Danio rerio: one gene and its partners. The protein of the gene in region 1 interacts with the protein of each later gene in a pairwise test. Links are inferred from orthologs where the notes say so. Each region holds a gene or a part of one and is shown on either strand. Other genes may lie near its edges. The genes, in order: klhl41a, nrap and rchy1.

Region 1 (4,274 bases):
AATAAAAATTTCGAATAATGTCTATGTTTGGTAACGTTAACCCTTTACAATAAGATTCCATTAATGTGTACTAACATGAACAAGCAAGTTTTCATCTTTGTTAGGGCTGTACATTAACTAAGCACAAATTTGGATTGCATTCATTAGTAAATGTTAAACTATGATTACTATTATATACTTTACAAGTATTGTTCAATCTTAGTTCAGGATAGATAAACTATGAAACCTTCTGTAAAGTGTGACCAGTAGCCTACTTTTAATAAGGTCTTTTGATGCGGAAAACATGAAATCTAATTTACCTCGGTCTATTTGAAGCCTTTTTTGTTTAGTTTCTAGTCCAAATATCTAAAAACTCTTAAATCTAGAAGCATTTTTTAGACATGTCTCATTGCTGAGTAACTTTCCATCTTTCACTAATTCAGAAGATCTCCAAAGTGGGGGAAATAAGAATTGTTTATTTCTATACACAGTTTACTTCTTGGGAATAATATTTCTAAAGGAGCTGTTAACACGTCTCATTTTAAGAAATAGTGTGTAAAAATGAAGTGAGTTTTTCCTTATAGGAAGCAAAATAATCTGTCAATGAGGTAATAACAAAAAAAAAAAAAAAAAAAATCTTTGCTTACCCCATTGGCAAATAATTTAGCTTGTTTTAAGGAAAAACTCACTTCATTTTTACTTAATATTTCTGATCATTAGACAATATTCTAGAAAATGCTTTTTAATTTAAGAATGACTAGACATTTGGACTAGAAACAAAACAAAAACTCTGTCGCTTCATGATGAAAACAGTCTCTAAACTAGTGGTGTAACGGATGACAAATCTCACGGTTCGGATCACATTAGGGTTTTTTAGTCACAGATTGGACCATTTTTCGGATCAGCCAAAAAGGAGTGGGGACAAATGTAATTTGCTTTCCATTTATATAACAAAAACATTAAAAATATGAAAAATAAAATGAAGGAATAATCAGCTGAACAAAAATAAATTGTAAAATATTCAGTACTGTGAAAAATTCACTGTCACTTCTACTGTTGCTGATAACGCTAAATATAGAAATCTAACATTATAATTTGTACAACTCATATTTTAGTCTCATTTTCAGTTTATTCACTCCTAAAATGTCATGTTTCATTGCTTGATGATCATTATTGAAAATTATTTAGTGGCATATTTTTGATGGCTTTTTGTCGCCACTTGTTTGGTTTAATAATTTTTTTTTTTTTTTTTGCGCATCAAGTTAAATGCATATGACAGTGATTTTAATCTACCATAAACATCAGTGGTTATATCTAAACTATAAACTGTTCTCCCAGTACTTCTGTGTTTTTTGACTTTTTGTAACTTCTTTACTAATTTAAAAAAGACTGAAGAACTGAATCTCTTTCTGGATTTTTGTGTTTATCAAACACAGATTTGAAAGCAGCGATTCAATGGATTAATAAACATATGCAAATCTCCATAATTTATAATTTGTTGCATGGGTGTTGAAATCCCGATCTTTTAATAATTAATCGTGCAGCTTATACTGAATGCACTAATGCAAATAAGTAAGAAAAAAACAAGTCAAGTGCGTTTCGAACTGTGGGTTGTGATCTGTACAAATCATGGATCAGCCATGATCTGTTACACCCCTACTCCAAACAGACAAAAGTAAATTAGATTTCATGTTACAAAACAATCTAAATAAGCCATGGTATAGCCATGAAATATTACCTATATCCACCCTGTATACTATATACCTGATAGAAATAGCACTGCAGCGGCGAATCCTTGTTTTCTTCATCAACAAACAGTCCTCCTGCAACATACAACAGATTCTTTTTTGACGTGATGCTGACGTGGTTTCGAGGAATCTGCTCAGCCATCGCTGCTAGAAAGCATTCGTTCTCGTTGGCGTCGTAGGCCACGGCTGCAGTGTCGTTTATCATCAGGATGAGATCCCTGTTGAACATCCCCAGCCGTTGGCTGTCATTCAGAAAACCAGGCAACTCATTTTCGCCCTCTCCTTCTTTCTCACCCTCCTTTATTTGTGGAAGTTTTCCAGCAAAAGCATCCTTAATGACCTTCAGCTTCTTGATGAGTTCGGGGTCGGCCTTAATAATGTCATCCTTTTCCACTTTCTCCTTCAAGTATTTTTCCGGCAGTAGTCGAAAGCGAATGTGTTCGAAAGCATCGCCCAAAGCCTTCGCCCGGTTTTCTTTGTTTTTTCGCACCCACTTCATCAAGAGCTCAAACACAAGCTCTTCTTTTTCAACATTGAGAGCGTCACACCCAATAATGGCAAAAAACTCAGGAGCGTTAAACTCAAGAAATTCTTCGTCTTTGGATAAAGTCTCAAAATGCTCCGCTATGAAGTCCCTAGCGGACACAGCCAATCTCGGACAATTCAAAACCAGCCCCATCCTGAAGATAGCCAAGCAGTTTCCCAATGAAAGCTTGTTTTGTAGGTAATTGACGCAAACCGTGAACACTGATGGGATCTGAAACTTATTAGCGACCGCAAAGACATCTTGCACATTGTCATCGGTAATATCGATGTCTGCAGAGTAGAGGTAGTTCACTATCATATCCATTATGTTGGGATCCACATTCTCCAACACTACTTCCTTGTTGGCATCTTTCTTCTCTGTGCCGTCTTCAGTAAAGTACAGCTCTCGGAAATACGGACTGCACGCAGCCATGATGAGTCTATGGCAGGGAAGGCTCCGATCTCCAACTTTCAGTATGCAATCCACAAACTTGTTCTCCTTCAGAAGTTCCTTCAAGCCATCCTGAAGCAGGGTGCTCTGAAAAAGCCTCAGGTCCTCTTTGACACTCATTGGTTCCATCTTTAAAATTCGCTTGATGAGGATACGATACTTCCTCTCGTTGTGCCGTCTCAGTTGTAAGAGGCTGAAATAACACAGAGCACCAACACAAGCAATTTAAGCCCCGCTTCTCTAAATATAGAGCCCTCATCTAGTCAGAAAGAATTCGGGCTGAGCAAACGGGAGTCGCGTAAAGCAGCTGTCAAAGACTGAAAAAGACAACTGTGAACCTTGGACACACTCAGAGGTCAGGGGTGTTTAAATGCGAACTATATTATTAAATGACGCGTCAGTAATTCAACAGCTGTGTAAAGAGGTTTAAAATAGTCGGAAAGGTGTATGTCATTAACCTTTTTTAACATGTTCATCATGACTCAGAAACAAGTTGATGTGACTCATTCGTGTTGCACTTGTATCTTTTTGGTTTTTATTTAAATATAGGCTCAATACAGATTAAAGCTTGGATGTCAAATAATTTTTTTAACTTATTGAGAAGTAAAACTGAGGGAATCGTCTTTGGACTATTAGCCGTCTCTGGCAAGCTGAAATAAAAGCTGGACAATCTATCCGATTACATTAAACCATCTATAAGAAATCTAGGTTTCATCCTTGATTCTGCCCTTCTATTTGACAAACAGGTAGTTAAATCTTGTTTTTTCCAGTTGAGATTATTAGCCAAAGTGAAAGGCTTTTTAACTTGTGGAATTCGAGAGATTAACTTGGGCATTAATATCATCACACTTGGACTATTGTAACTCAATTTATATAGGTATTGGCAAATCCTATATAAATCGCCTACTAGTGGTCCAAAATGCAGTCGCTAAGTTTCTTACTGGTACCTGTAAATTTGAACACATTAACCTATCCTATGCTCTCTAAGTGAAGTTTATGTATAAACAAATTTCGAGAGGATCACGTGCTTATGATTGCTAGCGGCTGGATCCGCATTATCCAATTCACTATGCTCCAATCAGATGACTCCTAAACTACTATAAATACCCTGGGTTTCATTCCACTGCTATCTTCGTTTTGAAGAGTCTTCCCTTCCACCCCTACTCCTCCTTCCTAGATGGGTGACACGGTGGCCCAGTGCGTAGCACTGTTGCCTCACAGCAAGAATGTCTCTGGTTCCAGGCTTAACCAAACCAGCAGACATTTCTGTGTGGAGTTTGCACTTTCTCCCCGTGCTCACGTAGGTTCCCCCAGGTTCCCCGGTTTCCTCCCACCGCCTAAAACATGCAATTAAGTTAATTGAATAATCCAAATTGGCACCATAGATATGCTTCTAGTACGTGGTTATCTTCAAGAGCAATCACTTACTGTTCATCAGTTACTACAGCAGGGGAGTTCTTGAGATCTACCTGAGCTCAAACTCCCCTCCCGCCTTGCAACGGGAGGGAGCCCTGGGCTCGAAGATCTCATGAGCTCAGGGCTCTCTCCCGGGACAGCATGCTAAACAAGCT
Region 2 (3,654 bases), on another chromosome or scaffold:
TCCTCAGCCTTGGCACGGTATTTGTCATCCATTTATATAGTTCCCAGGTGTTGACTGGATTGTTAAGCGCTGTCTTTCTCCACATTTACAGATCAAATATAAAGAGGACTGGGAGAAAAACAAATCCAAAGCATGTGAAATTGGCCTGGACACACTGACTCTCAAAGCTGCCAAAGCCTCTCGAGATCTGGCTAGTGATGTAAGAATTAAATGCGTAATATAGGTAAAAATGAATGTTTTTTATTTCTTGGATTGATTGGATTTCTTGGGGTCTACAGATTAAATATAAGGAGTCCTATACAAAGAATAAGGACAAAGCCATTGGAATGGATGTGAGTGACTCCAAAACACTGCACTCCCTTCAGGTGGCCAAGCTAAGCAGTGAGGTAAACAATACACAGAGTTAGGTCAAGTTAAACAATAGTTTTTTTAATTAAAGGGGCTTTATGTAGAGTTCAGAAACCTTTTTGTTTTGTTTTTTTCGTGGCCTTAACATTTTAATAGGTTTATTTTACAAGTCTTAGAGTTAAACAGTTGAGTTTTACCATTTTTGAATATATTTATTTACACTTTTAGCTTAACTTAGCATAAATCATTAAATTGGATTAAACCATTAGCATCTCACTTTAAAATCTTGCTTCAATAATTCTATTTAAAGCTTGACTCTTCTGTAGTTACATCGTGTACTAAGACAAACGGAATATATGTGTAGAAACTGTACTTTCATTCTGGCCTAAATTAAGGAATCAAGGAATTTCGCTGTTGTGCCTTTTAATAAAGAAAGTGGAATGTTTTTTTAAAGTATACTTATAATGATATACATAAAACAAACAAAAAGTGCTTAGGGGTAGCTTAAATGTTTTGTCGGTGCTCTTTGGGTAAGGGAATTAACAAAAAAAATAATAAAAAACAACGAAAATCAGTCCAAGGCACTCGAAAAATTTGGAAACTTTAAAAAGCCTTTATTCAAATGGCTAATCCTTAAAAACCTATGTGTTTCTAAACAATAAAAAAGCTATCAATATGTACAAAAGTCTTACATAAAGCCCCTTAAACATCCAAAATACAAACCTATACAAAGCCTAACCAATTAAAATTTCTTTAAAATAGGTTGCTTATAAAAAGGATTCTAAGGAAACTCAATCCAAGTGCCACCTGCCTCAGGACATGGTGAATCTGAGTCATGCTAAGAAGGCTCAAGCTCTGGCCAGTGATCTGGAATATAGGAAGAAGTTACATGATTATACTCTCCTGTCTGATGACATGAAAGTGCAGCAAGCTAAAAAAGCCTACAAACTGCAGAGTGACGTAAGTAATGCAAGAACAGAGCGGAATGATACTCATAATGTAACTCTATGTGTTTGCTAAATACTCTAAATCAGTGTTTCCCAACCCTGTTGCTGAAGGCACACCAACAGTACACATTTTCAACCTCTTCCCAATCAAACACATCTGAATCAAGTCATCAGAACATTAGAAGAGACTCCAAAACCTGAAATTAATGGGCCAGATAAGGGAGACACCCAAAACATGTACTGTTGGTGTGCCTTCAGGAACACGGTTGGGAAACACTGCTCTAAATATTACTTTATATATACTATATACTACAGAACCAGTACAGATCAGACCTGAACTGGATGAAAGGAGTTGGATGGGAGGCCGATGGATGCCTAGATGTAGAACAGGCCAAGAAAGCAGGAGAACTCTTCAGTGAGGTTGGTGATCACAGGATTTGCATTACCAGACATTAATTTAGGCTTCACAACTAGCCATACCACAAAGTCATACCACCATACACTGCTGGACAGCCAATTTCAGTTGTTAAGTGTTGTTTAAATGTTCATATTTTCAATTCTATACAGAAAAAGTATCGCCAGAAGGTGGATATGGTGAAGTTCACACAAGTGGCAGATACTCCTTCCATCATGCATGCCAAGAAGAGCCAGGAGCTGCAGAGTGGGGTAAGATACAATGCATCTGATCTGATCTGTCTCTCTTTTAACTGGAATCTTTTCAGATGATTGATTGGATTTTTTTTTGACGCAGTTGGCATACAAGGCAGGCACAGAACAGACAATGCACCAGTACACTATAAGCAAAGATGAGCCTCTCTTCAAGCAAGCCAAAGCTAACGCAGAGCTTCTCAGTGAGGTATGGAACTGAATCACATAAACTTGTACACTGTATAAAGTGATTAGTTACTTAAAAAAGCAAGTTAACCTCTTGCCCTAAATGTGAAAAGTTGACTTAACTTAAAGTGAATAAACCCGTTGTAACTTGAAAGTGTTACAGTATGTTGAATTATAATTTTTTTAATTATGCACACATTTCATTTATTTAAAAAAAGAGTAAACCCCTTGCCTTAAAATGTTTAAGTCAACTACAGTAATCCGTTCAAAAGCAACCGGTTTACTCCCTTTTTTAGTAAAGTCAACTGATCGCCTTTATAGTGGATACACTGTATTTTGTACCATTAACCTGCACAAGAACTAACAACCCACTTCTGCTTTTAATCAACACATTGGGTTTCTGGTTTTTAGAAAACATATAAGAGTAGTTGGGATGAACAGAGGGAGAAGGGCTTTGAGCTAGGCTTGGACACACTTTCGATTCTCTCTGCCAAAGCAACAAGAGATCTCGCCAGTGATGTGAGTGAACAAGCACCCTACTGAAAGCACATGACTCACTTGCCACTCAATGACACTGGAGCTTTAGGTTCTGTATGGTGACTTAATACAATCTAAATGATCATTTCTGATGCTTTGTGTATGTAGGTGAAGTACAAGCAAAAATATGAAATGACAAAAGGGAAGATGATTGGCGTGAAGACTGTGGCAGACGATTCTCAAATGGCCCACTCGACCCATGCTACCAAACTCCACAGTGACCTCAACTACAAGAAACAGTATGAGGACACCAAGACCAAACACAGCGCCTCACTCGATATGTTGACCCTCACCCATGCCAAGAAAGCCCAGGAGCTGGCCACAGAGACAAACTACAAAACATTCTTGCACAAGTACACCATCCTGCCCAGTGATATGAAACTGGAATGGGCCAAGAAAGCCTACGGCTTGCAGAGTGATGTAAGTGTTTTCCCAGATCTCAATTTAATGAAGCGGAAACATGCTCATATATGCATTTGGTTGAAGTATTATGAAACAAACTTTGTTTTGATTGCAGAAAAAGTATCGCTCTGACCTGAACTGGATGAAAGGAGTGGGCTGGGAGACTACTGGATCCCTTGACATACGACAGGCTAGAAAAGCCACAGATTTAGCCAGCGAGGTACATGAACAAGGCTTATCATACACACTTAAGCTATTTCCATGCATTTTTAGATATCCAAGCACAATTAGTCAGCTGAGATGCATAACTTGAATTCTAATTGACAGAAAAATTCAATATCTTAATGCCAGAGCCTAAATACTATATCATATTTCACCTTTCTGCTTTGAAAAACAATATGCTTTGTTTGCCTGCCTGAACTAACATGATTGCTGGTGGTCAGCATGGGGACTAGGAACGATAGGGAACCAGCTACACTCTCTTTGTTTTGCTTGAGAACTGGGTGACCATGTTTTTCGGCCAACTAGACCAGTAATTGGAATTGGATGTGAATGTCTCCATTGTCCCTGAAGGGCAATTTGGTTT
Region 3 (3,654 bases), on another chromosome or scaffold:
ACGCAACAATTTTAATTGTTCTAAACAAAAATCTCTCACAAAAGCTCCAATATTTTGCTTATTTTTTCAGCTCTGATCATAATTAAAAGCAAATCATAGAAATGGTGTCATCATGTACTCCTCCACTTGTTCCAAACCTGATGAGTTTTTTCTGTTAAACACTAATGGAGATGTTGCGGGACAGCCATTGTTCGTTCGTTCATTCATTCATTCATTCATTCATTTTTCTTTGGAAAATTAACAGTCGAATGAACCACCAACTATTCCAGCATATGTTTTAAGCAGCGGATGCTCTTCCAGCCGCAAACCATTACTGGGAAACACCCCTTCACTCTCAAACTCCTACACTACAGCCAATTTAGTTTCTTAAATTCACTTACAACAGATGTCTTTGGACTGTGGGGGAAACCGGAGCACCCGGAGAAAACCCATGTGAACATGGGGAGAACATGCAAACTCCACTCAGAAATGCCAACTGGTCCAGCCGGGACTCGAACCAGCGACCTTCTTGCTGTGAGGCGACAGTGCTAACCACTGAGCCATTGTACTGCCCTAAACAGCCATTGTTTGTTTTTTAATCCTAAAATGGAAGTCAATGGCTGCTTTTTCTAACATTATCGCAATGTCTTGTGTTCAACAGAAGAATTAAATTCAGAAACACTTGAGTTTAGAGAAAATTAGGACATTTTAATTTTCAGGTGAACTGTCCCTTTAAAGCTTTTGCATATTCTGTCCTTCAGGCTCAACAGATATGTAAAGAGTGTGAAGTGAAGTTCGGAGAATATTACTGTGACATTTGCCATCTATTTGACAAAGACAAGAAGCAGTACCACTGCCAGCCCTGTGGGATATGCAGGTTTGCATTGTATTTAAATGTTTTCATCTACCGTCTCCGGGAAAAATATAAATTAATATATACAATAGAAGTCAAAATTATTAGCCTTCCTGAATAATTAGAATTAAAATAATTAAAATTGAAATATGTGAAGAGGATAATTAATCCATGGCATATGTTACTGATTGACCTTATAGGCAGTAGGCAGTTTTATTAATATAGCACATTTCATACACAGTGGCAATTCAAAGTGCTTCACATAAACAAGAATAAAAAAGACAAGTGTTAGAAAAAAAAACTAATATTAAAAACTATTTAAAAACAGATGAAAATGTGTTAAAACAGGTTATTAAAGAATGAAAAAGAAAAGAAAGACACAACTGTGCAGTCTGTCGGATGTAGCTTAGTGCTTATTCAGTAAAGGCACGGCTAAACTGATGTGTGTTCAGTCTTGATTTGAATGTGCCTAATGTTGGAGCACATCTGGGGCCTCATGTATCAACGCTGCGTACACACAAAAACTTTGCGTACGCCAGGTTTCACGCTCAGAATCGCTCACGTTTGGATTTACTAACAATGAACTGAACGTGGGAATGTGCGCAGCTTTATGGCAGGCGTACCCACATTTTTTGTGCGTGTCTGTTTTATTTCCATTGGCGACTCTGGACTCTAGAGGCAGTTGTGTTAAATTCCTCTCTACAAAGTGTCTGAGCCTTGCAATGGCAGCTGTATGAGACGGGTTCATCTAGCAGGTATATAAGGTTTCCATACCATACAGTTAACCAGCTAAACATTAAAGCACAATTTGCAGCGGTCGTCTGTTTTCCCAATGTAATCTGAGCGATCTACTGCACGCACATTGCTATAAAGACACTATCTGAAGATGAATTTGCATGCGTGAATCAGAAACATTTCCATTCAATAAATGTGCAAATAAAATATGATGCACAAACTTATTAATTATTCCTACTTGTCTTTCTCGTGATAAATATTTGGCAAAATCTGATATGTAACGGGGAAAAAAAGAAGAAAGAGTTCATCAGACACTGGATTCGAACCGAGTTCATGCTCGAACGTGTCAAAACATGTTGACATGCGTCTTACAAGCTGCGCCACTGAGACTGTTAAAGGTAGTGCAACATTTTACACCTATAAATCACACTATTTCTTGTTTAATTCACTCAGTGCGATGTTCAGATCCAACTGTGTTAACCGCATCAGCTAAACTCTCCGACTATATATTTTTTTCTTTTGTTGTTAATTCCGGAGAACAAACTTGCAAATAACACCGCTTTTCTCCGGTCTACCTCCGAAAGCAGCACCTCCAATTCACATTCTGTTCAAAGTTTCTCTTCTTGCTTCGTTTTGCCGTTGCTTTTTCGTTGGGTTTTGCCAAAGTAGAGTCATTAGCATATTCATACGGGGGAGGAGGCAGGGAGGGGATTTGTGCTCGTGCATGTTGCGCTCAGTTTCACGTTCATTCAGATGTACAAAAGAATATGCGTGAGATTCGGCGAACGCAGTGTTTCATACATCTGAATTTTGTTCTGCGTACGCACATTTACAGCTTTGTGTGTACGCAATGTTTTAGTATGATTTCCACGCAAGTCTTCGTACATGAGGCCCCTGATCATTTCTGGAATCTGATTCCAGCAGAGGGCGCTGTTAGTAGCTGAAGGCCGATTCACTCTGCTTTGATTGAACTCTTGGATTTCTAGTTTATATGATCCTAAAGATATGAGTTATCTGTTGGGTTTCTATTCAGAGAGCATGTCTGTATTGTATTGAGGCCATTTAGTGATTTATAGACGAGTAGCAATACTTTAAAAATCTATTCTGAATGTAACTGGGAGCAAGTGTGAAGACCTGAGGACAGGTAGAGAGAAGGGACTCAATAAAAAGGGAACACACTCTTCCTGCTGCATCTCACTCTGCAGAAACCTGTTGCTGTATGACTGTCTGACCTTTGCAAAGAGTAAAATTTTAAAAGACATTTTGGGTAAGACTTTGTCTTCATAACCATTGAGAGAGCCTCTAAAGAAAAGAGCCACTACAATGACAGAATATAATATTTGACTAAATGTTTTTCAAGACATTAGTATTCAGCTTAAAGTGACTTTTAAATGATTAACTAGGTCATTTAGGTATGTTAGGGTAATTAGGCAAGTCACTGTATAACTGTGGATTGTTCTTTAGCTTTTATTCTAGCCAAAATAAAACAAATCAGACTTTCTCCAGAAGAAAAAAATATTACAGGAAATACTGTGAAAAATTCCTTCCTTGTTAAACACCATTTGGGAAATATGTCAAAGAGAAATAACAATTCACAGGATGACGAATAATTTCACTTCAACTCTACATGTTTTTATTGAACAAGCACATATGAAATTCTTCTAATAAGATTCAGATCGACCCTCTTTTTTTCTGTCCTTAGGATTGGTCCAAGAGAGAAATACTTCCATTGTACGAAGTGTAATTTATGTTTAGGTACTGAGCTAAAAGACAAGCACAAGGTATGCAATTTAGCGTTTTGATTCTTGAACGTTGCTTGCTGTCAGTAGTGAGATGTGAAGCAGTGTTTGTGCTTTTCAGTGTGTTGAGAACGTCTCCAGGCAGAACTGTCCCGTTTGCATGGAGGACATCCACACGTCCAGAGTTGGAGCTCACGTTCTGCCATGCGGTCATCTGCTGCACGGGTGAGTGCTTCAACTTCTGCCCTGCATGAAATAAGTTACTTGCACTTCAGGAATATGCACTGATTCGCTGATCTTGGATACTAAATAGGTACTGTATTTGTTTTTTTGTGTTTGACGATTAAT

What was found.
Region 2: the proteins of klhl41a (region 1) and nrap interact in binary tests that used the Homo sapiens proteins (3 or more experiments, as listed by UniProt). The link is inferred for Danio rerio from reciprocal best matches to the Homo sapiens genes KLHL41 and NRAP.
Region 3: the proteins of klhl41a (region 1) and rchy1 interact in binary tests that used the Homo sapiens proteins (3 or more experiments, as listed by UniProt). The two-hybrid records come from large-scale screens. The link is inferred for Danio rerio from reciprocal best matches to the Homo sapiens genes KLHL41 and RCHY1.

Annotation. Positions count from the first base shown.
Region 1 is NC_133184.1:50,135,937-50,140,210, forward strand, and holds the start of klhl41a (kelch-like protein 41a), read right to left. Parts: upstream 2,918-4,274; 5' UTR 2,833-2,917; coding exon 1,744-2,832; intron 1-1,743. UniProt on the Homo sapiens protein: Involved in skeletal muscle development and differentiation. Regulates proliferation and differentiation of myoblasts and plays a role in myofibril assembly by promoting lateral fusion of adjacent thin fibrils into mature, wide myofibrils.
Region 2 is NC_133187.1:32,487,272-32,490,925, forward strand, and holds part of nrap (nebulin-related-anchoring protein), read left to right. Parts: intron 1-91; coding exon 92-199; intron 200-278; coding exon 279-386; intron 387-1,110; coding exon 1,111-1,308; intron 1,309-1,610; coding exon 1,611-1,715; intron 1,716-1,862; coding exon 1,863-1,961; intron 1,962-2,046; coding exon 2,047-2,151; intron 2,152-2,540; coding exon 2,541-2,648; intron 2,649-2,774; coding exon 2,775-3,086; intron 3,087-3,183; coding exon 3,184-3,288; intron 3,289-3,654. UniProt on the Homo sapiens protein: May be involved in anchoring the terminal actin filaments in the myofibril to the membrane and in transmitting tension from the myofibrils to the extracellular matrix.
Region 3 is NC_133180.1:9,850,091-9,853,744, forward strand, and holds part of rchy1 (RING finger and CHY zinc finger domain-containing protein 1), read left to right. Parts: intron 1-740; coding exon 741-856; intron 857-3,269; coding exon 3,270-3,348; intron 3,349-3,427; coding exon 3,428-3,531; intron 3,532-3,654. UniProt on the Homo sapiens protein: E3 ubiquitin-protein ligase that mediates ubiquitination of target proteins, including p53/TP53, TP73, HDAC1 and CDKN1B. Mediates ubiquitination and degradation of p53/TP53; preferentially acts on tetrameric p53/TP53.